Linked DNA regions of Lonchura striata. The protein of the gene in region 1 interacts with the protein of each later gene in a pairwise test. Links are inferred from orthologs where the notes say so. Each region holds a gene or a part of one and is shown on either strand. Other genes may lie near its edges.

Region 1 (7,180 bases):
ATTTTGCACTATCAGGCAATCTCAAATCAACTCAGTCCACTTAAAGAGATATGGGAAAAGAAATTGCTTGAGTCACTCAGCTACTTTTCTATCTCGGGCAAAAGGAAAACTGAAAATTTCTTACACAGTTGATAATTTCTGCTTTTTATTTGGATAACACAGAACCCACAGCACTAGACCACAATTTATGGAAATTTCAGCTCAAATATTAGACAACTAGTTAGAATTGTTACCAAGTAAAAACAAGTAATTTATCTTTGTCGCTGATGTTGTAGAAATTCTAAAGCAGTCATGTTCTCCTCAGTGTACACTGTTGACTTGCTCCACTTTAACCTGCTTTAAAACAGTAAAAGTCAACTAGCAACTCTTACTCCAGTTTGCAGCCTGTATTTTTCCACTCTAGAGTTAAAACTGTATGGTAATGGAAATTCTGCATTATTGTGCTGATCCATATGAAACAATGGAATTATTTCAGCCTTAGGCCAATGTAAATCCCAGTGCAACTCTGGTCCTCACACAGCGGCTGTGTGGGAGCACAGGAAGGTGGGAAGACTGGTAATGCCAAGCAAGGCTCTGCAGACAAGGTCTCTGCACCAGCCTGTCACAAGTAATGCACTCACAGAACGGGCTCCAGCCATCCCTCCAGGTATCAGCATAGAGAACCCAAAGCCTTTTCCCATGGGTCTGGGGCTACACATCTCCTTCTCCAAAATCCATGGTACTTTACATACATAGAGAGTAGAATTTCCCTCACTGGTGATTTTTGGCTGCCACTAACAGCCAGTAAATTTGACATATGGCTACGAATAACTTGACATTCTCTCTCTCAACTTTGCTTCAACTATTAAACCAAAACATGTTCTACAGATTATTACTTTTGTCCTCAAAGTAGGTTAAAAACATCTGGAAATGTTAATAGCAGAGATATAAGAAAGTTAAATTTTTAGTTTCCCTGTCAATTGTTTTGTTTACCATCTCCTTTCACACCACAGGTACTCCACAACCTTCCCAGTGCTTTCCAGCAGCGCAGCACCACGTCCCCGTCAGAGCCGAGGCATTTGCATTTCAATGCCCTGCCCGTACCCGAATGTCAGCTCTGACACACCGACTGCACGGGAGGGAGCAGCTGGGCAGGATTCCTGCAGCAGCACAGCAAGTGGGGGCAGCGGGGTGGCAGGAGACAGCCCTCACCTCGGAGCCCTGCCTGGCAATCCTCTGGGCTCCCTGCTCCGGGGCTGGGCAAGAGAGGCTCCAACAGCCTCACTTAAAAAAAAAACTATTAACACCGCCTGAAACCAAGCCAACCTCATCAGAGAGCAATCAGAACAAGAGAAGCAGTGACACGGAGGAAAGCTGCAGATCCTTATCTCTTCAGAAAAAAGGGCAAAGACGACATGGGCCATTAGCAGAGATGGGATAGTGTGATCCTAAACCGGGATGAGGGGCAGCTGGAGGGAAAAGGGAGCCTAAGAGCAAAGACTAAACAGGAAAAGGGAAAAGGAAAGGAGACACACAGGCGGTTACGTTCAGAAACAAGGTAGAGAAAACATGTTACAAGTTGTTAACTTAGACTAAGCTTTCCACATACATATTTTTCCTAGCATGATACAGAAGGTTAACAGTAACTGTCGATGTCTATGACCCTTATCAATAGATTATAATAGCTATCATAATATTTTACTATCTTGTTTAGAGGAAAAAAAATTAGTCAACATTTAGGAGTCATTTAGACAAATAGAAACACCCCCCCCCCCCTTTATTTTTCTTTAAGTTGCTGATTCCAACCAATTCCCTTACTTGGAAAGTAAACAGGAAATAATACATATATTAGTAAACATGCCTGGAAATGGATTTTCTAAAGAGCTGAAAAGAAACACAAATTACTCAAGAAGTTGAAATGATATTTTGTCCCTTTGCTCTCTTTCACTGAAAGAACCATTAAACTGGCAGATATGTAGGAAATGCTGCTCCTTCAAACTAACTGTATGCTCTAAATCAAACCTTGCATCCATTATGAATTGCAGCTGAGTTAAAGTGCCTACCTGCAGCCAGGCCAGGCAGCAAAGTCTGCTGGCTCTTTGTTCTGCAGCTGGCAGCTCCTGCCCAGGCTCAGGAATCACACCCCACCTGCCACTGCTGTTCAGGTGAGGAAGGTGTAGTTAGGCCAAAGAGATCTGTTTAAAAAGGTATTTTAGGAAGTCTGTGAATGAAGTCATCTACATGGGATAATCTAGCAATAAGGTAAAGCCATCAGGAAATGAATACATAAGATTAATCATGGAAAGTTACTCATGGAAAACTGGTAATTCCTTCTTGCATAGTTCTGTATTTTAGAGAATAAAACAAAGTTTTCCTGAAAACACACTGAGCAGTAACTCTGCCAGGAAGATGCTTCATCTGGATAAAACAACTCACCTACTTTACAGACACAAGCTTTTAAGCCAGTATGAAACTAGATTAAGAGCTCTAACAATTCCATACAATCATGTACAATCTCCACAAGTATTTGCTGCTCTTGCTACACCTCTTGATTCAGTCTGTCTAGAGGAGGTTTTAAGTCATAAGTCACACAGAAGGAAGTACATCCAGTTTGTCACAAAGGTAGCTGTTCAGCTGGCAATTTTAAGCAAGTTAAACTTTCTAACTATAGAAACTAATTATTGGAATTCCATAAAGTCTTGTTTCCTAAAACATCTGTGTGTTCTTTCCTTCATGCCCATATATCTCTGTATGTTATTTTTTCTGTAAATATCTGGGAATGAAGTGTTTTAGCAGACATTAGACAGCCTTTATGCCTCAGTGAGGAAGGGGAAAAACTTTGGAGGCACTTAGAAAGCAATTAAAGAAGAATGAGCTCTATAAAAGTAAATGGCAAAGACCTAAAGCAAACACAAACTATGATCTCTGAGAAGGATCCCCCTATTAAATTCGAAGTCAGAGATCCACCAGACGATATTCCCCCTTGCCCCTGTGCTCACCTTGGAGCAGCCTGGCCATTCTGCATCAAATATCAGCTGCTCCACAACTAACAGAACTGCAAAGTATTCACATCGTTTCATTTGCTGTCCCAGCGCAAATCCCAGCTTTCCCAGCCCAGCCTCAACTTCACCCTCAGTAAAAACTGGCAAACAGACCGACCCACATACAAATCCAAAATAACCTTCGAGAGAAAGGACCGAGAGGATGGAATGCAGCTACACACGTACACGCTAACACGTAAAGCCTTTCAAGTCAGTAATTCGTAATAATAACAGAGCACGGACAGAGCCCCGGCAGGAACAGCATCCACCCGGCACCCACAGCAGCTTTATCCCGGGAAATTCCTCGAAGGTGTCAGCGCGGGGCAGGCGCTCCCCGGCAGGGCGCGGGCCCGCGCCGCACGCTCCCGGCCGCGCTGCGGGCTCGGGCAGCGCCGGGGCTGCCGGCGAGCACCGGGGCCCCGCGCCGCCAGCGGGGGCGAGGGCGGCGCGGCCCCGCGGGGCCCCGGCGCGGCTGCCGGCGCCAGACGGGCTCTGCGGGCGCCGCCGCGACCGGGACCGCGGCGGGGCGAGGGGCGCCGGGGGACCCGAGGGGAGGGAGTGACGGGCAGGCGGCGGCCGCGCCTCGCCGGAGCCCCGCTCGGTGCCCCCGCCCGCGGCCCCGCGGAGGAAAGCGGACCGCCGCCGCCCCCCGGCCTCCCCTCACGGCGCGAGGGGTCGTCACCCCCTCCCGCCCCTCACCTGGCAGGGGCTCGCCGGCCCCGCGGCGCCTCCCGCGAGGAGGCGGCGGCTGCGCCCAGGCGGCTCCGTGCGGGCTCGGTGCCGTTCCCGCCGGGCCCGCCGAGGACGCGGCTCCCGGGACGGGGCTGCGACCGCCGCGCCCGCGCGCAACAACCAACTCCGGGTGCCGCCCCCCGCGCGCGCACCGCGGCGGGGAGCCCCGCCCCCCGATCGCTCATTGGCCGCCGGCAGCGAGAGGGCGTGGCGCCATCGCGGGGCGGCGCGAGGCCCTCGGGCGGCCAGGGGAACCGCCGTGATAAGACTACAATTCCCGATGCGCACCGCGCGCGGGCCTTTAAATACGTACCGTCATCTCGCGCGTGCGTGTGCAGAAAGTGTGTGCTTCCGCCTGCGGTGGTGAAGTAGTCCCGCTGCGTGGTTTGAGCTCCAGCCCCGCGCTGGGCCGCTGAGGGAGCGGAGCGGCGGGCGCTGAGCCGGGAGCCCTCTCGGCTTTGCGGGCCTTCTCCCGAGGGGCTCCTCTGGGGGAGGCGAGAGGGCCGCTCTGAGGCGGGAGCGGAGGGATCCGAGCAGGCGGAGTTGTTAGGCGGCGGGCGCGTGCAGGACGCGCGGCGGCTGCGCGGGCTGAGGGGACCCGGCTGAGGGGACGCGGCCGCCCCCGGGACCCCGGCCCTGCGCCAGAGCCGCCGCCGGCAGGTCAGTGGGGACGGCCGCGGGCCCGCCGCCCCTCCTCGGCCGGCAAGGAGTCGGCGGGCGGCTGCGGGTGCTGTGGCCCGCCGTGAGGGGGGCTGGGGGAGCCGCCGGAGCTCACGGGGGGTGAGGGGGAAGAACCGGATGAGGGTCTAAGTGCTTGGCTTTCCGTATTCTCCATTATATATCTTTCCACGGTTCCCCCAAAGCGATATTTCATGGCTCCCTTGGTTCTATTTATTTGTCCTTTCTGTAGGTCCACTTAACGTTCCCTTGTCAAGCAGGTGATTTGTTATAGCGTGGTTTTCTTATACTTCTGTCCAGGTTTCCACATTCAGTTCCCCGTCCCTGGGGGAGTGAGTCTCTTGTGTCGAGGTGGTAAAAAGAAGCCCCGGCCCTGGGGCTGAAGACACCGGGGCCACGTGCCTTGCGAGGCGCCATTCATTCCCGTCCTCTGGAAAACCAGCGCGAGAGTGGAAAGGAGGAAGGGCAGGGCGAATATAAATAAAAGAGCTCCTGCTCTCTAGAGTAGCGTCCTTCAGCGTTTTTGGCTGCCCATTCCTGTCAATAAAGAATGCTTTTTATCATGCCTCTCTCAAATATGTAAATTTATTGGTTCGTCAGTTATCTACACGTAGTGCTCTTCTGATAGATTATAAAACGTACTCAGACATAGAAATTGAGAAAGGATAAGACAAAAGTGAAACAGAGATGGTATTTTAAGACATTATTTCATAAAGCTGCAGAAAATGCAGATTTTTGGTTTGCTTTGCATATGACCCCCTTGACCACTGTGCAAATTCTTCTGAAGTCATCATTCTAAAGAATGTAAACATAAACTGCCGATGAAAAGAAATATGTTTTCTTTTTTAATCCTGGCCACGTGTGCAGGGGTACAACCTATTTGAAGATGGTAAAATGATAGTGAAATGCTTTTTTACCTTCTCTTGGCTTTTTTCACACCTGTATCATATGTCTGTTAGAAGGGATGAGATATTTTGTATTTACAGAACTATATCACTTGGTGGAATATAATTCCGAGTTCAGGAAATTGGGGTAATCTGATAATTTTTTTCCCCCCTGTCCTTAGAAATCCGGCATGCCTTGAAATAGAACTTGAGAAGTTTGGCTTAGAAATGGTGTGCAAAACAGAGTATTTTGATTAGTCTTTAAAATCCTAAGTTAACTTTTATTTAGGATCCCAGTAGTTTTCAAAACAGAAAAATGAGAGGTTGTGTGATCTGACCACACTGTCTTGGTTATAAGTGGATTTTTTGTTCCTTTGGTTGCCCGTGGCGGGGCACACAGAGGGTATGTGGTGATAACATTTGTGGCTCAAAAAAGAGAGCAGAGAATTGTGTTCTTTTAGGTACCTGATGCTTGGGTCCAGCTCCTGGGTGTACCTAACTGTTAGAAGGTGACTATAACAATTTCTGGTGCTCTGCAGTAAAGCAACCACAAGGAGAGAGATTCTCACTGTTTTCCACCTTCTGCTCTTGCAGGGGATCTTCCCTGGCCCAGCTCAGGCTTGCTGTGTATGGCTGGCCAGGACTGCCCCCAGAACTGAGGAGAGGAGCTGATCGCCTCGTGCTTCTGGATTGCTGGATGCCAGCACTGACTGTGAGCTGTGCTTTTGCTTGTACAGCATCACGATGTTACTTTAAGTATCAGAGCACAGGAATGGAGAACATTGTGCACTGATGTGCTGGGCTTGACTTTGTAACCTTTGTTAGTGTCTGTTCCCAGTGAAGTTAAATAAAGGGTCACTCAGTATCCAGTGCCCATTAGCAGGGTGTGTCTCCTCACCTGCCACACCGGCTCAGCCTTTCCATGCTAATTGCTTCTTCTTGACTAAATAGGAATAAATAAACTGTTTTAGGACCAGTTATTCAATGGGATTTTTCTCAAGTTTACAGGCTCATACAAGTTTCTGAATTCTTGCTGTTTCACCCTCCTGCCCTCTCCAGGCTGTGGGTGAAAAATTTAAGTATTGCTGCCATGCACACAGAGCTGTGCTTGGTGTTTTTGAGTGTTGTGGCATGTGCTTTGAGGAATTGTTAGAGAATAAAGTAATAGAGACCCTCTTGATAATGATCTGTGGGAGGGATGGGTGACTCAAAGAAACAGGCCTGTACAATTTTGAGTGCAGTAGGTGAATACAGAAAGGTTGTCTTTTTTTTTTTTTTTCCCCAGTTGTTCATGTACCTTTAATAAAATGCTGTTTCAATCTGAAATGCGAGTGGCTTGGGAGTCCCAAAATGAAGTTGCTCTCTGAATTCTTTCTAGCTTTTTAAATTTTTTTACTTCCATGATTTCCCTTAGAAAGAGAGGGGAAATGTTTCTTATGTTCTTGGGAGCTGTTAAACTTCTGCTATTTTTAAGACAAGAAGAGTGATCAATAAACACAATTCAACATGAGGTATGAATTACTAAGTGTAGTTTGTTTTCAGAAGCCACTGTTTTTTTGAGAGGATTGGTTTATGAAAGCAGGTAAGGCTAGTTGATGGCTATTTGAAATACACAGTCAACTGGTAGCTAAAGCTTTATTGATGTAGGTCAGGCTCCGTGGCAAGGTGAGCAGTGTTGGCCATATTGTGTTGTCTGACTCCAGGAGTGGCTCCTTCATGTCCAGTGGCATCAGCAGCACAGCTGTTGGCTCTGATGGTAGCTGTTAGTTTTTACTGGGAGCTGGCCTCGATGGTCCTTGTGGGTCCCTTCTGTATTCCGAATTCTGTATTCTGTGGTGCAAACTTGTAGTCTGATACTGGACCTTG
Region 2 (7,767 bases), on another chromosome or scaffold:
AGTCCGGAAACCAAGGAACAGAACTGTTGTTCCATACTGAAAATGATCAACAGAAGCCATATACAGTCTTGTAAGCCTGCATCTCCTCATGATCACATTATTTGTTAAAGATGCAATCTCAGAAATCACTGCTGAGTGCCCTATAAATTCCAGGATGTTATCCCCATAGAATTTCCAAAGTTTCATTCATTCATAAAGAAATAGAAGTTGCAAAATTGACTGCTGAGTATACTTACCAAGAGATTACAGTGGGAAGGATCAGAAACAACAAGTGTTAAGCGGGTCAAGACTTTAATTCTTTTAGATGTTCCCTACAGAAAAAAAGGATAATATAAAAAAAAATTAATAATCCAAAGCAAAAATTTGTGGTAATTTCCACCAGTCTGCTATAAAAAGAAAATGGTGTCTTGATATATCTCTTTGATATTATACCTGTCCTTACAAAGAATGACTTACTGTGTTTCTCTGGAGAAGGATAAATAGAAAAGGAAAGAAAAAAGACAAACAACTATGCAGAAAAATTGAGTATGTTTTACTACTGTTGTGATTCCTCAGGCAGGCCACAACAGCAAGTAAAAGCAGTTCCTGAATTAATGAATGTCAGTGATTCAAAACATATTATTGTACTTTTTTATATCCAAATTTTGCTCCATTGAAACCACAAAGTTATTTCCAAAACTTAAATTTCAAGAACTGTACTGTAATTATTCAATTACTAGCAGATTCAAAATTCACACAAAGAAATTTCTTTAATAATTTCTAAAATAATGAATAGAGCTTACCCTGATGTGAGCTAACTATTCTTCCTATGCTTGGAGGTTTAACCATGAAACAATGGACAAATTTTTCTTTTTTGATTAACACCTCATACGCAAAATCACATATACAAACACACAAAGGTAAAAAAGGGTAATTCAGAATAACAGTATATATAGAGAATGCAACTAGACATACTTGTACAATAGGTAAAGATGGAAACAACTCTGAAGGGGATACTGGCTTGATGATTTCCTTGAAAGAGAAGAAAATAAAGTTATTAAAACTGTTATGGGTTAGGTTTACATGTAAACAAAAACTGTGTTCCAATCTTAAGAAATTCACCACACTAAGAAAACTATTTTTGTGGGACAGTACATGAAGCAGATTAAAAATTAATCCAAAGGCAGTTTTACTGCAATATAAAATGGGAGTTTTGTTACAAATACAGAGATTTGTACTTGTGTCTAGATGTGCATTCTGTAGCTAAAGCTATCTGGAAACATGCAGTAACGAAGCAGGTTTACTAAGGAAAAGACAGTAAGACCAAATAACCCCAAGAAAAATTACCTGTTTCTTTTCTTTAAAGTCGATGACATGATTAAGTGCAACTGCAGAATACCCCACTGAAAAACACATAGTAAGAATATTTTGTCAAGTAAACAAAAAGACAATAAATCCAATGAGAAAACCGTAAAATAGTCATTACTTAAATGTCTTAAGGTTAATAACCATGTGCATGTTTAGATTTCACAGTATTTTTTAAAAAGACTGGTTCACCCAAAAAAATACTTTAAAACAGAAAAAAAAAATCTATTTGGTTTTTAGCCTAGTCCAGGCCTTTCTACTCTTACTCAATCGCAGAGCTTTATGAACACAAATACATGGGCTTGGTGTCCCCAAAGGTCTAGCTTAGTTTGGCCCTGTTTATGACTTTCTCTATGGAAAACTGCTAAGTATACTCAGCACAGCTGTTAAAACTGCAGACAACGCAGAGCCGGCAGAGATACAGCTGTCGGAGAAGGCAAAGCGAGCAATTCAAAACGATGCCGACTACACGGAGGAGAAGGTACCGCTCAAAGGGCTCTGAGGAAGAGACGCCAGGGGCGTTTAAACCAGCCGCCCAAACCCCGCACAGGCAGCACGTGGCTGACAACAGCTCTGCAGGGAAAGAGCCGAGCCCTAGAAACTGCAGGCGGAAACACTGGTCCACGTTGGGGAAAAAACAGCTGTTACGCTGGGATACACAGGGAGAGGCAGAGCTGCAAGGCGCATCAGGAGCTTCCCCAGCGACCCCGGCCCAGGCAAACCCCGACCCGGGCAGACCCAGCCCCGGGCAGTCCCAGCCCCGGGCAGACCAGATCCCCGGGCAGACCCGGCCCGGGCAGACCCGGCCCCGGGCAGACCCGGCCCGGGCAGACCCGGCCCGGGCAGACCAGATCCCCGGGCAGACCCGACCCCGGGCAGACCAGATCCCCGGGCAGACCAGATCCCCGGGCAGACCAGATCCCCGGGCAGACCCGGCCCCGGGCAGACCAGATCCCCGGGCAGACCAGATCCCCGGGCAGACCAGATCCCCGGGCAGACCCGGCCCCGGGCAGACCCGGCCCCGGGCAGACCCGGCCCCGGGCAGACCCCGACCCGGGCAGACCCGGCCCCGGGCAGACCCCGACCCGGGCAGACCCCGACCCGGGCAGACCAGATCCCCGGGCAGACCCCGACCCGGGCAGACCCCGACCCGGGCAGACCCTGTCTCGGGCAGACCCCGACCCGGGCAGACCAGATCCCCGGGCAGACCCCGACCCGGGCAGACCCGGCCCCGGGCAGACCCCGGCCCCGGGCAGACCCGGCCCCGGGCAGACCCGGCCCGGGCAGACCCGACCCGGGCAGACCCGGCCCGGGCACTGCGCTGGCAGAGCCGCGGGCGGAGCGCACGGAGCGCAGCGGCGCCGGGGCGGGTGGCGATGCCGGCCTGCCCGGAGGGAAGGGAAGGCTCATCCCGGGGATCTGTGCCCACCCAGCCCGCAGGCTCCGGCTGCGCCTGCCGAGCCGGGGAAGCCGCCGCCGCTCGCGTCCCGCCGCCTCTGGCCGGGGCCGGCCCGCGCTCCCAGCCCAGCCCCACCGGGACTCACGGTGCGCCGCGGCCTCCAGCAGGCTCTGCAGGCACTTCTTGTCCGCTCCCTGCGGCAGGTTCAGGTCGGCGAAGCCGGCCATGCTGGCGGGCGGCGGGCGGGCCCAGCCCGGCGCGGAGCGGCGCACGGCGGCCCCGCCCCTGCCGCCCGCCCGCGGCAGCCTGGGCCCTGTAGTCCCGCTGTGCCGCGCCCCACACAGCCCTGCTGCCTCGCCACGGGACTGCGGTGGGTGGGAAAGGCTGTGGGGTGGTGCCTTAGGCCCTGGAGATCTCCCGTGGTTCGTTCCCAGCAGCGCAGCCGGGCTGTGAGAGACATCACGGCTCTGCATCCCCCGGGCCCGCCGCTCTCCGCCGCCGGCCGAGGCCCGGCGCCCCTGAGGCGCCGGGTGCCCGCCAGGTGGAGCGGTAACCCTGCTCCAGTGCCGGGTTTATCCCCTGTGAAACTGCTTCAGCTCTGTCTGAGCGTTGCCAATAAAAATCATAGCCAATCTTTTCTATGTATAGTTTCATAGCTATTCTCTTTCCTACAAAGCCCCGAGCTGCCATGTCAAAATACCCCTGACGCCGAAGAGGACAGATGAATTCTCACAGACCGATGAATCAGATAAAAGTTCACTGTGTAGCACTGCCACAAAAAGTACTAATATTGTTCTAATGCTGGCAAATGGCACAGAATATGTAAAATACAAATAGAAATTCTCAGTAGGCGGTTTTTGGTGACTTAGAGCAGCCGCTAAAGATAGCAGGTTTGCAATTCCTGTCCAAGTTCAGGTGGCCAGACCAGGGGGTCTTTCCCTTTTTCTGTCCTCAAGTTGAGCTAAATGCTCACCAGGGGACGTCTGTGGAGTATCTGGAGCCCTGAATTCTTAATAAGGTAAAAATGCTTCTAACCAAGGCCAAGGCTGCTGCCAAAGCGTGAACATCCCTCCTTATAGGGTCTGACCTTGATGCAGCTTGTGCAAGCTGTGTCCATGGGAATTGTGGGGACCTGGGATTCATTTCTACCAAAGACATCATGGTTAACAAAGTATGGCTGAGAAACAACAGTGCTTTCTCGGCGTGTTTCTGGACTTCCTGTGTGATGAGTTGCAAATACCTGGGATGATGGTAGCAGAGAAGCTACTTGTGGCTGCAGACACTGGACTAGGAGTTGAAGCAGCTTTGAGGGTCAGCAGAAAGCAGCTCCCACATCTGTATGGCAGGAAAAATCCACATCACTCTGAAAGGGGTAAAAACCCCCAGCTGGTAAGCTGTCATTGTTCATACCACATCTATGGCAACATTGTTTTCTTGACCATATTAGATCAAGATATTTCAGTAAAGAAGCTCTGTTTTAGTCCATCTACATCTGTAAGGTGTTTGCCTGTGACACCACATCAGCCAATACTGCTCCTCTGCCAGCCAACTGAACAAGCAGCACAGCCTGAATGGTATTGCCAAGGTCTTTCTTCAATGTGTGTGAAAACAGAACAGCTCAAGATATTATTCTAGGTTTTCAGTGTTTGATTTGAGTTGATTTGTCTTAATGAATGTAAAAAGCAATCCAGAATCCATTCAGTTATTTCTGAATGGCCCTACTGCAACAGTGTTCAGAAATACCAAAGATTAAGCAGCCTTTGTGTTTGGCAGTATACAAGCAAAAGAAACCCTTCTTTGAGGTTCTTAAAATGGAGGACATTTAAACAGATCTTCATGCAGAAGATCTACAGAACCCTATTTTCTGTAATGGTGTAAGAATCCAAGTACGAAGAACTTTTAGCACCAGGTATCACAAATTGTACTTAGAACAGTGCACAGTCTTATTTTCCATGTTATTATTTAGCTATTACTGCTTTTACATACGTCAGACCCAGTGATTTGGGGAGAATTTCCTTATGGTACTCACTGTTAAGCTGCAAGCTTCTAACATGCTTTGTTTCATTGTTGTCATTAAGTTCTCCTTGGTGAAAACTTATCTCCTCATTCCAAGTGTTTCTTTCTCAATACACTTAGACCTCAAGACTGTCCTTTCAGTAAATTTTAATGCAGAGACCATCACAATTCTTCTAATAGGTTTTCCATGGGCAGCCCCTGGTAGCAACTGTTAGGGTGTTTTTGCTTTAGTTCTGCATTTGGCACTTTTTGGGTGCTAAGATTTTATTTATTACTACCTACCTCAGCAACTATAAGATTTTATTTATTACTATCTACCTCAGTAGCATGAGTGTCACAGCCACTTTCATCATAACCTCATAATCTCCACTGTAAAGATAAGATGGAGTTTTCAGAGTTGGGAGCTCTCATTTTGAGTGATACAGAATTTTAAGCATAAATGTCATCTTAATTGTTCATTTTCTTTTCAGATGCCAGTTTGTCATTGTTAGGATTTGCTGGTTCCAGAAAAGGACAGACATAATTTCATATTTAAGTTGCACAGATGAAAGTATTTATTTTGACAATGGTAAGAAATGGCCAAATACGGGAATAGTTACCTCTCTGTTTTACTGCCACAGAGTGATGATGATTTATCTTCACAAAGACAAGAAAAGGCAGAAAAGTGCAGCTGCAACTATTTTCTAGAAATTAGACAAGTGTTATTTGCTAAACAGTACATGCTGGGAATAAAAATCAAGGTTTCAGTAATACCTCTAGAAAGCAAAGAAAAGGAAAAGAAAAGAAAAGAAAAGAAAAGAAAAGAAAAGAAAAGAAAAGAAAAGAAAAGAAAAGAAAAGAAAAGAAAAGAAAAGAAAAGAAAAGAAAAGAAAAGAAAAGAAAAGAAAAGAAAAGATATGACAGACAAATTAAAACAACAGCTTGAGGAGATAAGCTCTCTCAGGCAAGGAAGGACAAAAGAGGGGATGATAAAAAAGAACAAAAAAAAATTCTGATCTGTTTATTTATTGCATTGCATACTCATGTTACCTTCCTGCCATATGTACAATACTGGATGGTTTAAGAAGGGGAACATAGCAGTACCTCAGCTTTTCCAGCTAAGATGAGCAGAGCTATTGTTTTCTAGAGGCAGCTGCGTGAAGGAAGGTGTTACCATGCTGGGCTGTCAGCGTTTTCTCCTCTGGTGCTGAAGCTCTTGTACTGCATTCCTTGACCCATTTCAGTCAGGATCCTCCACGTTAGCACAGACCTGCTGTCTGTGCTAGCATCAGATCCTCCAGGGAGGGATGAAGGATCCAGGATTTAATGCAAGATTTTTCAACATAAACACTTTGACAGATACAGTCTGGCCCCACTAAATCAAAATGTGTTTGGGAAACTGTATTTCCTTGCCTAGCCCTAATGACCTGTCTTACCTTATCTCACTAACATGGCAGCAAAGAATTGATAGCAATACCCACTGCAATAGTATACACTTAGTATCAATAACAAATGCTGAAGATGTTATGTGATTAGCACTGTTTCTGGAGGAGGGGAAAAATTAAACAGAGGAATTAACTACTTTGGGAGAGGGAAAAATGAAAATAAAAGGTTCTCTTGCATTTTTTTCTTTTTATAATCTGAATATTTTCTACATAGCAATAATAAAATACCAAAGGTGAGATTTGCAAATAAAGTACACTATCAAATATTAACAAAATAGTTTAACTTTACTAAGTGCAGAAAAAAAACTTGGCACAGAATTGGAGGTATATGGAAATATTAAGAGGCTTTTATGCATAGAGAGCCTAAATTACTCATAAGACAGGATTCTACTAAGCTCAACCAGAAAAATGATTTGATTGTATTTTTTGAAGCCTAATGGAAGGTTAAAAAGCAATTTCTTGGGTAGAGAACAAATGTCAGCTTGTTATTCTTGACACCTAATTGGACATTTGTTTCACTTCTGTATTCTATCTGAAACAACATTATTAGAATTTTTAAATATGATCACTGAAAACAAAAGTGGGATGTACCCTTGGAAAGACGAAGTCCCACTTTCATGTGTTGTTATTTTAAGTGCCTAGACTGGATGTCATCTCATGGAATGATGGATTCTCTTTGCCTTTCTGGACACTTGGCCATGTGAAACCCTCTAAACCCTCACGGAAAGCACCTCACTGGATTCAGCCCAGCCTGGGAAACTGGAAGTTATTTTAGGTGTGTCCTAGTAAAAAGCTTTCAAGGAACATATTTTAGTAAGGTGTCAGCTGCTTTGTCTTGGCAGGGTTTTTCACATCTTCTCTGCAGTAGTACATAAATCCCTTTCTATAATGATACATAAATTGACTTAAATTGGTTTGTTTCTTCAAAGGTAAGATTACAACAGCAAATCAAAGAGTGGTAACATGGCCTTTGAGTAGGAAAGAAATCAGGTGATTAACTTGGAATGGACTGTAAGGGAATTTAAGATACAGAACAAAAGATACAATTCAGTCCTACTTTTGGGTTCGAGTGGGTAGGAGTCATCCGTACCCTACCAAATGATCCTGTGTATCATCCACTGAGAACATTTAGAGAATCACGTCCCAGAAGGGTATTGAAAAGCTGTGGAGAAGAATGACTGATTTAATGAACTGTGTTAACTCATTTGCAGGAAGCACCAGATTATAATTTGCTCTGCCTTAGTGACATTTTAAGCAACTGAAAAATTGCTTTTACTAGGAGTATTAAACTGTACAATTTTATCAGCCTTTGTGATAAGAATCTATTTTGAACAAAATTTACTAAGTTCCTAACTCCTTAGCTGTTCTTCAAATGCTATTTTTGAAAAAATATGTTCAACCAATAAGGAAACATTCTCTCTACAAGTTTTGCCTTAATGTTTTAATTTAGATATGTCCTTGCCTTTTCTAAAGGCCTTTTTCTTCCTAATATTTACTTAACTGAGGACAAAAGACTTCATTTATCACCTGGTGGGGTAACTCACCTGAGGCTCAAGGTTGATGAACACATTATGGGTGGTTAGC
Region 3 (7,413 bases), on another chromosome or scaffold:
CTGGGTATATTGAGCACATTACTTCTTCCCTGAAAATGTGTCCCGAGGCACGTTTCTCTAATGCAGACCTTTGCAAGGCAAGAAAAAGCCCACAGTGCTATGCACAATATCTGTAAGGCTCTGCTGGATTTAGAGGGATCAAGACACTGCCCAGGTCCACATTAGGCCAACTTCTCCTTTCACTCTGCAGGAATGAAACCCTGAGCTTGGTCTCAGCTGGGGGCTGAGACTGAAGGGGACAGGGCCAAGGAACTGCTTTGTTTTAGTCTCAGTCCAAGTACAGGTGAGGCAGCACTAAATATGAAATTTACATTAATATATCATTAACATTAAATTGTTACATTATGTGTTTTTGGTAAATCTAGTATTTGAGGGTTTTAAAAGTAAGACCCCAACACACTTCTTTGTATTGATATGGTGATCAAAAAGGACAGTTTAAGCCATCTCTACCAGAAAAGCATTGCCCTGGAGGGAAACTTTTCAGCCTTGCTTGAAATATCCCTTCACTTCCCTAAATGAGAGGCCATCCAAAGGTCTGTTTCATGACCTGCATATTCATTTTCTTCTGGCACTTACAAGACATGCATATACTAAATGCATGCAGATCTCAAACAAGGCTTGAGGAAAAATTTCCAAATGAGTAAATTCAATTAACTGAGCTTGCTCTTCCAAATTCATATTTTTAACAGTCTACAAACGATCATTCAGTGACCCATAGGATGGTTTGTATTACACCCCATCAAGGTGGTCAAAGTCAGGATGTAATTTGCAGCACAGGAGAGGTTCCTTCCCTGGAGGAATGTCATAACTGCACTCAAGAGAGGTCTGAGAGCCAACAGTCCCTCAGCTGCTGCTCTGGGGGTCTGCTGACACTGCTCAATGGTCTCCTGGCCCTACTTCCCCAACAAAGGTGCACCTGATCTCCCTGCAAGGTGAATCATCTTCTACAAAAGCCTCCTCAGTTGGATTTGAGAGCACTGATCTTGTATTGAAAATGTATTGCTCTTGCAAATGTTACCTCCAAAAAATACTTTGCAGAGATTCAAGGGTACTTCTTCAAACCAAGCCTGCATCAGTCACTTACAACTGAAATACTGCTGCTCACATCTCCCTGGCACTAAATGGAAGCACAAAACACTCCACACACACCCCCCATCCCAATCCTTCTTCCTTCATGTCTCAGCTACATCCCTCACTTTGCCAGCTTTTCACTTCTTCTCCCAGCCAAGGTATCATGCTGTCTGTGCTCCAGCTGCAGGACTGTCACTTTCCTGTGATCAATGCCCTGTGGCTACCCACTAATTTTAATACCTGCCTTCTCCTTTAATTATGTCTCTGCATCAACCCTGCTCAAATGCTGTCAACCCTTCACAGTCCTTTTCTCGAGGAGAAAAGCAGACCCTTAACCCAGATGGCAATAAGTGCTAGGGTTCAGCATGTATGGGGAATGGATCACTTCAGGTCTAGCACAGAAGCACACAGAGCTGTTTTCTGCTGTCAGGGTTAATACAAAAGGTATTAAATTCAGTATATCCTGTATCCTGTACTTCTCTCCTTAGAAGTGTCACGTACCCTGCAGTATGTGCTCTGCCAATCTGACCCAGTTCTCTTGATGAAGCTTGGAAAAGCAATTCATTCCTTAGCTGATATTATACAAGATATTAGAGTGTTCTGAAACATGTCTGCCAGCATTCTGATGGTATTGTTCAAATGCTATCACTAGAGACTAATATGCTTAATATGGCAGCAGTGTTCCTCTGTGGTGACTTGTCCCACACAGTGACTGAGGAGACCTTGTACTGAAATGTCTCAGTGCTTTTCTGGCTCACTCTGATGCACTAGCACTATAATCTCTTGTGCGTATGAGGCACTGAAATCACCTCTATGCTCCACCCCAAAGCAGTCCTTACCAAATTGGGCTGCTTCAATCTGTGAATCCCTTCAAACTCAGCTCATGGAGCTGACAGCAAACCCTTGCCTTCTATGTAGGAGGACATTCACATTTTATGTGAATTTAAAAATGTTGATATTATTTTCAGTCCATTTGCTGGGGAAGATTCTGAAGAAACTCACCCATCCTGAATTTGATCTTAGAAGGACATATGTTCCATTGATTACAACCCACCTGCCTCCCCACTGTCTTCTCTAGCTTCATATCCCAGCTCCTTACTCAGCTTTTTTGCCCTGCTCCTATTCCTACCATCCAGATTACCCTGTCTATCCCTACATCTGTTCTCCACTCACTAGTCTGTCTCCACCTGCTTTTCACAGCTTTGCCTTATGCATCCATATGCTTGAACTGCAAGGGTGGCATTCCTTCATCCTTGGCTCCAATGCCCAATTACAGAGGAAGAGTTCCTGAGATGATGTTGGGCTGGAGCCTTAAGTCCAGAGATGAAATCATCTGAGAACTTACCCTCAGCACCATATAGCTAAAGTGCAAGTGAAATAGTGAAGTTGTTTTTCAGAGGTTTATGTCTTGGCCAGATTTGAGGAGAGGGAAAACTGAAAACTGATCCAGTTGTAAATCAAACCCTCCTACTGAGCTTCATTTCCTGCTCCAAAATGAGGCACTGCAGTTCAGGCTAAAGAGCTCCAAGAATTCTGGCTTAAGGAAATTAAACTGGTTTGTGTCAGGCTTTTTCCAAATTTGATGGATCAAATTTGCTGAAGCTTGCAAAGTCACCAACCCCTGGGATAGGTAGTATAACATGTAATTAATTTGGATTCAATCTTATTTGACAAGGGAGAATCAACTGAAAACAGGAGTTGAGAATGGAAATTGTTTAGTAATTCTAAATTCACACAGCTGTGAGAATTTAAATGTTCTTCTCCTCCAAGAGTCTGGAAGCACAGAGAAAAGGTAATGAAATACAAGTTACTACTAATAATCTTCCTATTTAGTAAAATAAAAGATTAGATACTAAACAAGGTTTACCTCAAATGCCGTTAAATAAAGTCAAATTTTGGTGCCAGCAGTCATGTTTAGCCCCTTTAAAATGCCCAGTTACAGGTTCTGAAAGACAAAAAATGAAAGATTGAGTCAGAAGCTGATGGAAGCCCTTCAATGGTCATGTGTTACAGCTCCATGTGTTACATCCACAAAAGATGTTTTTCTGTATTACTGCACCATACTGCAGAACATAAAATTTTCAAGTAATTTGAGCCTTTCATGGCTATAGTTTACCCTCAATTAAAGGGGGTTCTCACCTCAAAGTAAAACTGACATTTGCTCTCATTTGTTGATGGCAATTACATGTTCACCCAGCATTCAACACAGCAGACACCCAAAAGTTGCCCTCTGAATGCTACAACAATATGAATCAACAATATCACTTCTCTGTCACAAGCACAGCTTTCCCCCAGCTCACTCTTTCCATATCCATGGTGCAGATAAAGGAGGTGCCATTAGTCCCTCTCCAGCAGCAGCAGGAGCTGCACTCTCTGACTCCATTCCCACCCCAGTCCCAGTGCCACAGGATGCTTTTCCCAACGCAGTCTTCTTTCACAGGTGCAGACAGAGACAATGGTCTCTGGACAAGGATGGGAGCTGGAGTCTTCCACTTAGTGAGTACCTGCAGCTCCTTTCCAGGGGAGGCTGGGGCATTGGCTTTTCTGGATTTGGGGATCTATTCTACCCATCCATCCACGGTAAATGGAGAAAACCCAATAACTCCAGGTTATGGATCTGCTGGACCTTTTTTCAGCTCCTTATGCAAACCTTTCTCCTTGAAGATCACAAGCTGCTCTTTGCACAACGCAATCCCTGGGCAGGCAGCTTCATCCCACCACCCTCATCCTCAGCCACACTCGCTTTCTCCAGCTGCTGTCACAGCCCTGGAGAGGACTCCAGCACTGCAGAGTCCCCTTTGCCACTCCGCCTTCACAACACCAGCCTTACTGACATCACTGTGGTTGAGGTGTTGCTGTCTCTGAAAATGAACCCTTGCAAACACCCACCTTCAAACAGGCAAGCAGGGTCAGCCATAGATGGCCTCCTGCAGACCCTCATGGAGTGATAAAACTCTCACAGTGTGACCACAATACCTCCATCTCACATTAGCCACATCTTCCACTGCACAAAATTTTAACACAGACAGAGAGCATCTTCAGTCATTTACCACAGAGAATGACACAAACTTCAAAGAGAAAATACAGCTGCAAGTTTCAGTAACTCAGAAGAAAATATGCTCTTTCAAGACTCATACATATATCTTCTCACATTATGTAAAATTAATTTCCGTATCAGACAAAGCCAAAGAATTATTAGGATGAAAGGTCACTTAAAATGATCTGTGTTACTGATTTTATCAGCCACTACTTACAGCTTTAAAAAAGTCAATGCCATCTAATAGTGTCCATATTTCATCTCTTGAGAAATCTAATACTCTCATAAAGGAAGCAATATCAGACTGCATAGTCAGTCTTATGTGGAAATACAATTCTGAGAAACAATAAGAGAAAAAATATCATGGAACCTAGATAATATGCTGCATTTATACACAGAAGGGGAGAAGAGGAAAGAGACAAGAAACAAAATTATTGTGATGAATAGTGAGAACATCTTGCAAATAATGCAGATGCCAACATAAGATATCCTTTATTTCTGGAGCTGGTAATGAAAGAGATGAAGATTACTGCAATGTCACGCCGATACTATGAGAGCACTGTCAATCCTGTCAATAATCCCAGTTACAGGGCAGCATGTGTATGCAGAAGGTATCAGTTTCTGAAATTCAGGAGTGCAACAGTAGATGTCCCATATTAACGTCTCTTCTTCCCAAATTTTATGTTGTGTGACTCCACCCATAGGCTGCTGTTGACCCTATGATAGCATCCAGATGCCCTGGCTTGGGGTCCTGTTGTGTGAGAAGCTGCAGTTTCAGCTGGCAAAGGCTGTGGCTGCTCCCAGCAGCTACCAACACATGGGAGAAAAGCAGCAGAGACACAGAGTGCCTAGGCAGCAGGAGAATCCTGAAAAAGGAGTATGTCTTTTCTTCATTCAAGCATGCTCATAAATGTAAGCACAAGGAAACCTAACTAGATTTATCTAATAGCAATGAAAATCTCTCTCCAAGGGATAATCTTACTTCTCAGTTGGCAGCATTTGTGGCAGAGCTTGCTTACTCCCTCACCTAGTCCAAGGCACAACCATGTTCACTTCCATGAACTGTGTCAAGTGGCAACAAAAGCAGAGTAAAAGAGGTGCTTCTGCCTCCTGTCAGAAGGAATGCAACTATGACACATCAAGGCATCATACATGGAAAGACGGAGCATGTTTCTGCACTATGACACGTGAGCTCAGTGCTGGGCACCAAGTTGCCTCAGTTACTGGCTCCCAGCTGCTGTGGCAGATTGTCTCCTTTGATGTGAACACAGACACCTGAGGCCTTTTCTCACCCTTGCAAAGCACTTCACCTTGTCATCCCCAAGGGCCAAGCCACGTGAAGTGTGGCCAGCCTGGTCCCTTTGCTAGCAGCTGCCAGGGCTGGGAGAGCTGGGCAGGGGAAGTGCTTCCAGCAGTGCTCCTGCCACAGCTGTGATTCCACCTGTCCCCACTCATTCACACTCCTCGTGCACTTGCAATTATCCAGTTATCCCTTCCTGCTGCCTGCTGGGTGCTGACCCCAGGGATGGGCATGGTCCTTTCTGAACTGCTCCAGGACATCCCGTGACGGGCAGAACCTGCACAGAAGTCTAGTCCTTACCTCTTATTTTATCTCATGCCATTACTTATTCCTGTTTTGCATTAAGAGGTATTTTTTTTTTCTCCTCCTCATTTAATATTTTTTTTTAAAATCAGCTTTGTCAGTGTTGTGCTGCCTGAACTATTGCAGGAGCACTGCATTAACTCGGGGGGCAACGCTACCAACGCAAGGCTTTGAAGCTGGTAACAGCATTACAGGTATTTTGCTTTGGCAAGTTCAGCACATGAGAGTTCAGCATTAAACACCCTTCCTTTACATTGTTGCTCTAGTCACATTTTCTTTGCTTAAAAGGTGGGGTATTTTTTGGTTTTACATGTTTCATCTGCTTTTCAAGAGAAGTTCCATCTCCTTGATCTGGTCTATCCACAAAAATACCACAGTCAAAAGAAACCTGCCTGATTGTACTACATCACTGATCTGGGGTAAGAACATCTGCTCTCAAATTCTGCCACAAATTAGCAACTGAGATACTATCTCCCTAATCATCAGTCTCTTTTATTTTGCTTTAAAGAGCTATATGTGACAAAAACAAGTCAGCTGACTCCCTGAAACTTTTAAAGAATTATCTACATATGCATCTTATGATCAAATCTAATGTGCCTTATCTGAATGTTTACCACAATGCCTTTTTATCCCAACTTAAGTCTAGTTAAGAATGTTATTCACAATTGTTATTTAAATAGGAATCCACTCCTAGAATTACCTGTCTTATCAGGACTTCTGTTCAGTGGATGAATTTCATGGTCTTGCAGAATTAGGCCTTACACTATCATAATTATGTGCAGAAATTACATGACCTTGTTTTGTATTTCCCTGACATTAAATTTTGTGTTTCCCATTAGCTCCAGATTTTTATCTGATAGCACAGTGATAATTTCTTCCTGAACAGCAAATATAGTGTACTTGGCAATTACAGACTCAAAAAAGAAGCAATTATTTTGCTTACGACGCTTTATGAATTAAGTTCACAAAGGCTGAGACAGAGGCGTCATCTATTCTCCATATAATTTGATATTTGCATGTTGATTGAATCCTCCTCCAGGAAGGCCACCCTGTTTAGCTCATCAGAGAAGAAGCAAGAAAGCTAATTGATATTTCAAAGGGGGTAGATGAAAAAGGACAGCCATTACCAAAACCAACAATTACCAACATGAACAATTGCCACGTTTCTTTTCCATTAGAGGTAAAACACACATGTGCATAAACAAGGCCAGGCCTTTTCAGTGGCCCTCCTTTGCAGTCAATGGGTTTATGTTCTGGTTTATGCTCTGGCTAGGAATCAGATCAGTGAGGAAAGAGTCCAGCAGGGGCCTATGGAAATTAAGGAAGCTTTTAGTGCCAGACCTCACCCAGCAGAATCAGTGGCATTTGATGGCCATTTGCATGCCGCTACAAAGGTCCCTAAAAATCAAAACTTGCCCAAATTCAGGGTGTCAGAGGCATTACCAAGAAGGAAATACCTGGTTTGTTCCAAATCAGGGGACCTCTGTTATCAATGTCTAAGTTTAGCTGGAATAGCTGCTAAATTGCATCAAGATTGCATCAAGCCAGAATATGCTCAAGTACCCAGGCATTTGCCTTTATTTTAACCTATTGCCATAAACCAATATTGTGTGTGACTCTCTAGCTCTAGTGGTATCTTGCTCAGGGTCTTGGAAGAAAGATTACAAGATTAGGACACCTACAGTGACAGCAGCTCTCTCTG

Evidence for each region. The genes of interacting proteins can lie anywhere in the genome.
Region 2: the proteins of HMG20A (region 1) and RPP30 interact in binary tests that used the Homo sapiens proteins (3 or more experiments, as listed by UniProt). The two-hybrid records come from large-scale screens. The link is inferred for Lonchura striata from reciprocal best matches to the Homo sapiens genes HMG20A and RPP30.
Region 3: the proteins of HMG20A (region 1) and HPCAL1 interact in binary tests that used the Homo sapiens proteins (3 or more experiments, as listed by UniProt). The two-hybrid records come from large-scale screens. The link is inferred for Lonchura striata from reciprocal best matches to the Homo sapiens genes HMG20A and HPCAL1.

Annotation. Positions count from the first base shown.
Region 1 is NC_134613.1:5,200,045-5,207,224, forward strand, and holds the start of HMG20A (high mobility group protein 20A), read left to right. Parts: upstream 1-4,163; 5' UTR 4,164-4,412; intron 4,413-5,908; 5' UTR 5,909-6,026; intron 6,027-7,180. UniProt on the Homo sapiens protein: Plays a role in neuronal differentiation as chromatin-associated protein. Acts as inhibitor of HMG20B. Overcomes the repressive effects of the neuronal silencer REST and induces the activation of neuronal-specific genes.
Region 2 is NC_134609.1:16,214,561-16,222,327, reverse strand, and holds the start of RPP30 (ribonuclease P protein subunit p30), read right to left. Parts: upstream 3,012-7,767; 5' UTR 2,971-3,011; coding exon 2,889-2,970; intron 1,383-2,888; coding exon 1,327-1,382; intron 1,012-1,326; coding exon 955-1,011; intron 312-954; coding exon 237-311; intron 1-236. UniProt on the Homo sapiens protein: Component of ribonuclease P, a ribonucleoprotein complex that generates mature tRNA molecules by cleaving their 5'-ends. Also a component of the MRP ribonuclease complex, which cleaves pre-rRNA sequences.
Region 3 is NC_134605.1:99,285,799-99,293,211, reverse strand, and holds the start of HPCAL1 (hippocalcin-like protein 1), read right to left. Parts: upstream 3,012-7,413; 5' UTR 2,939-3,011; intron 1-2,938. UniProt on the Homo sapiens protein: May be involved in the calcium-dependent regulation of rhodopsin phosphorylation.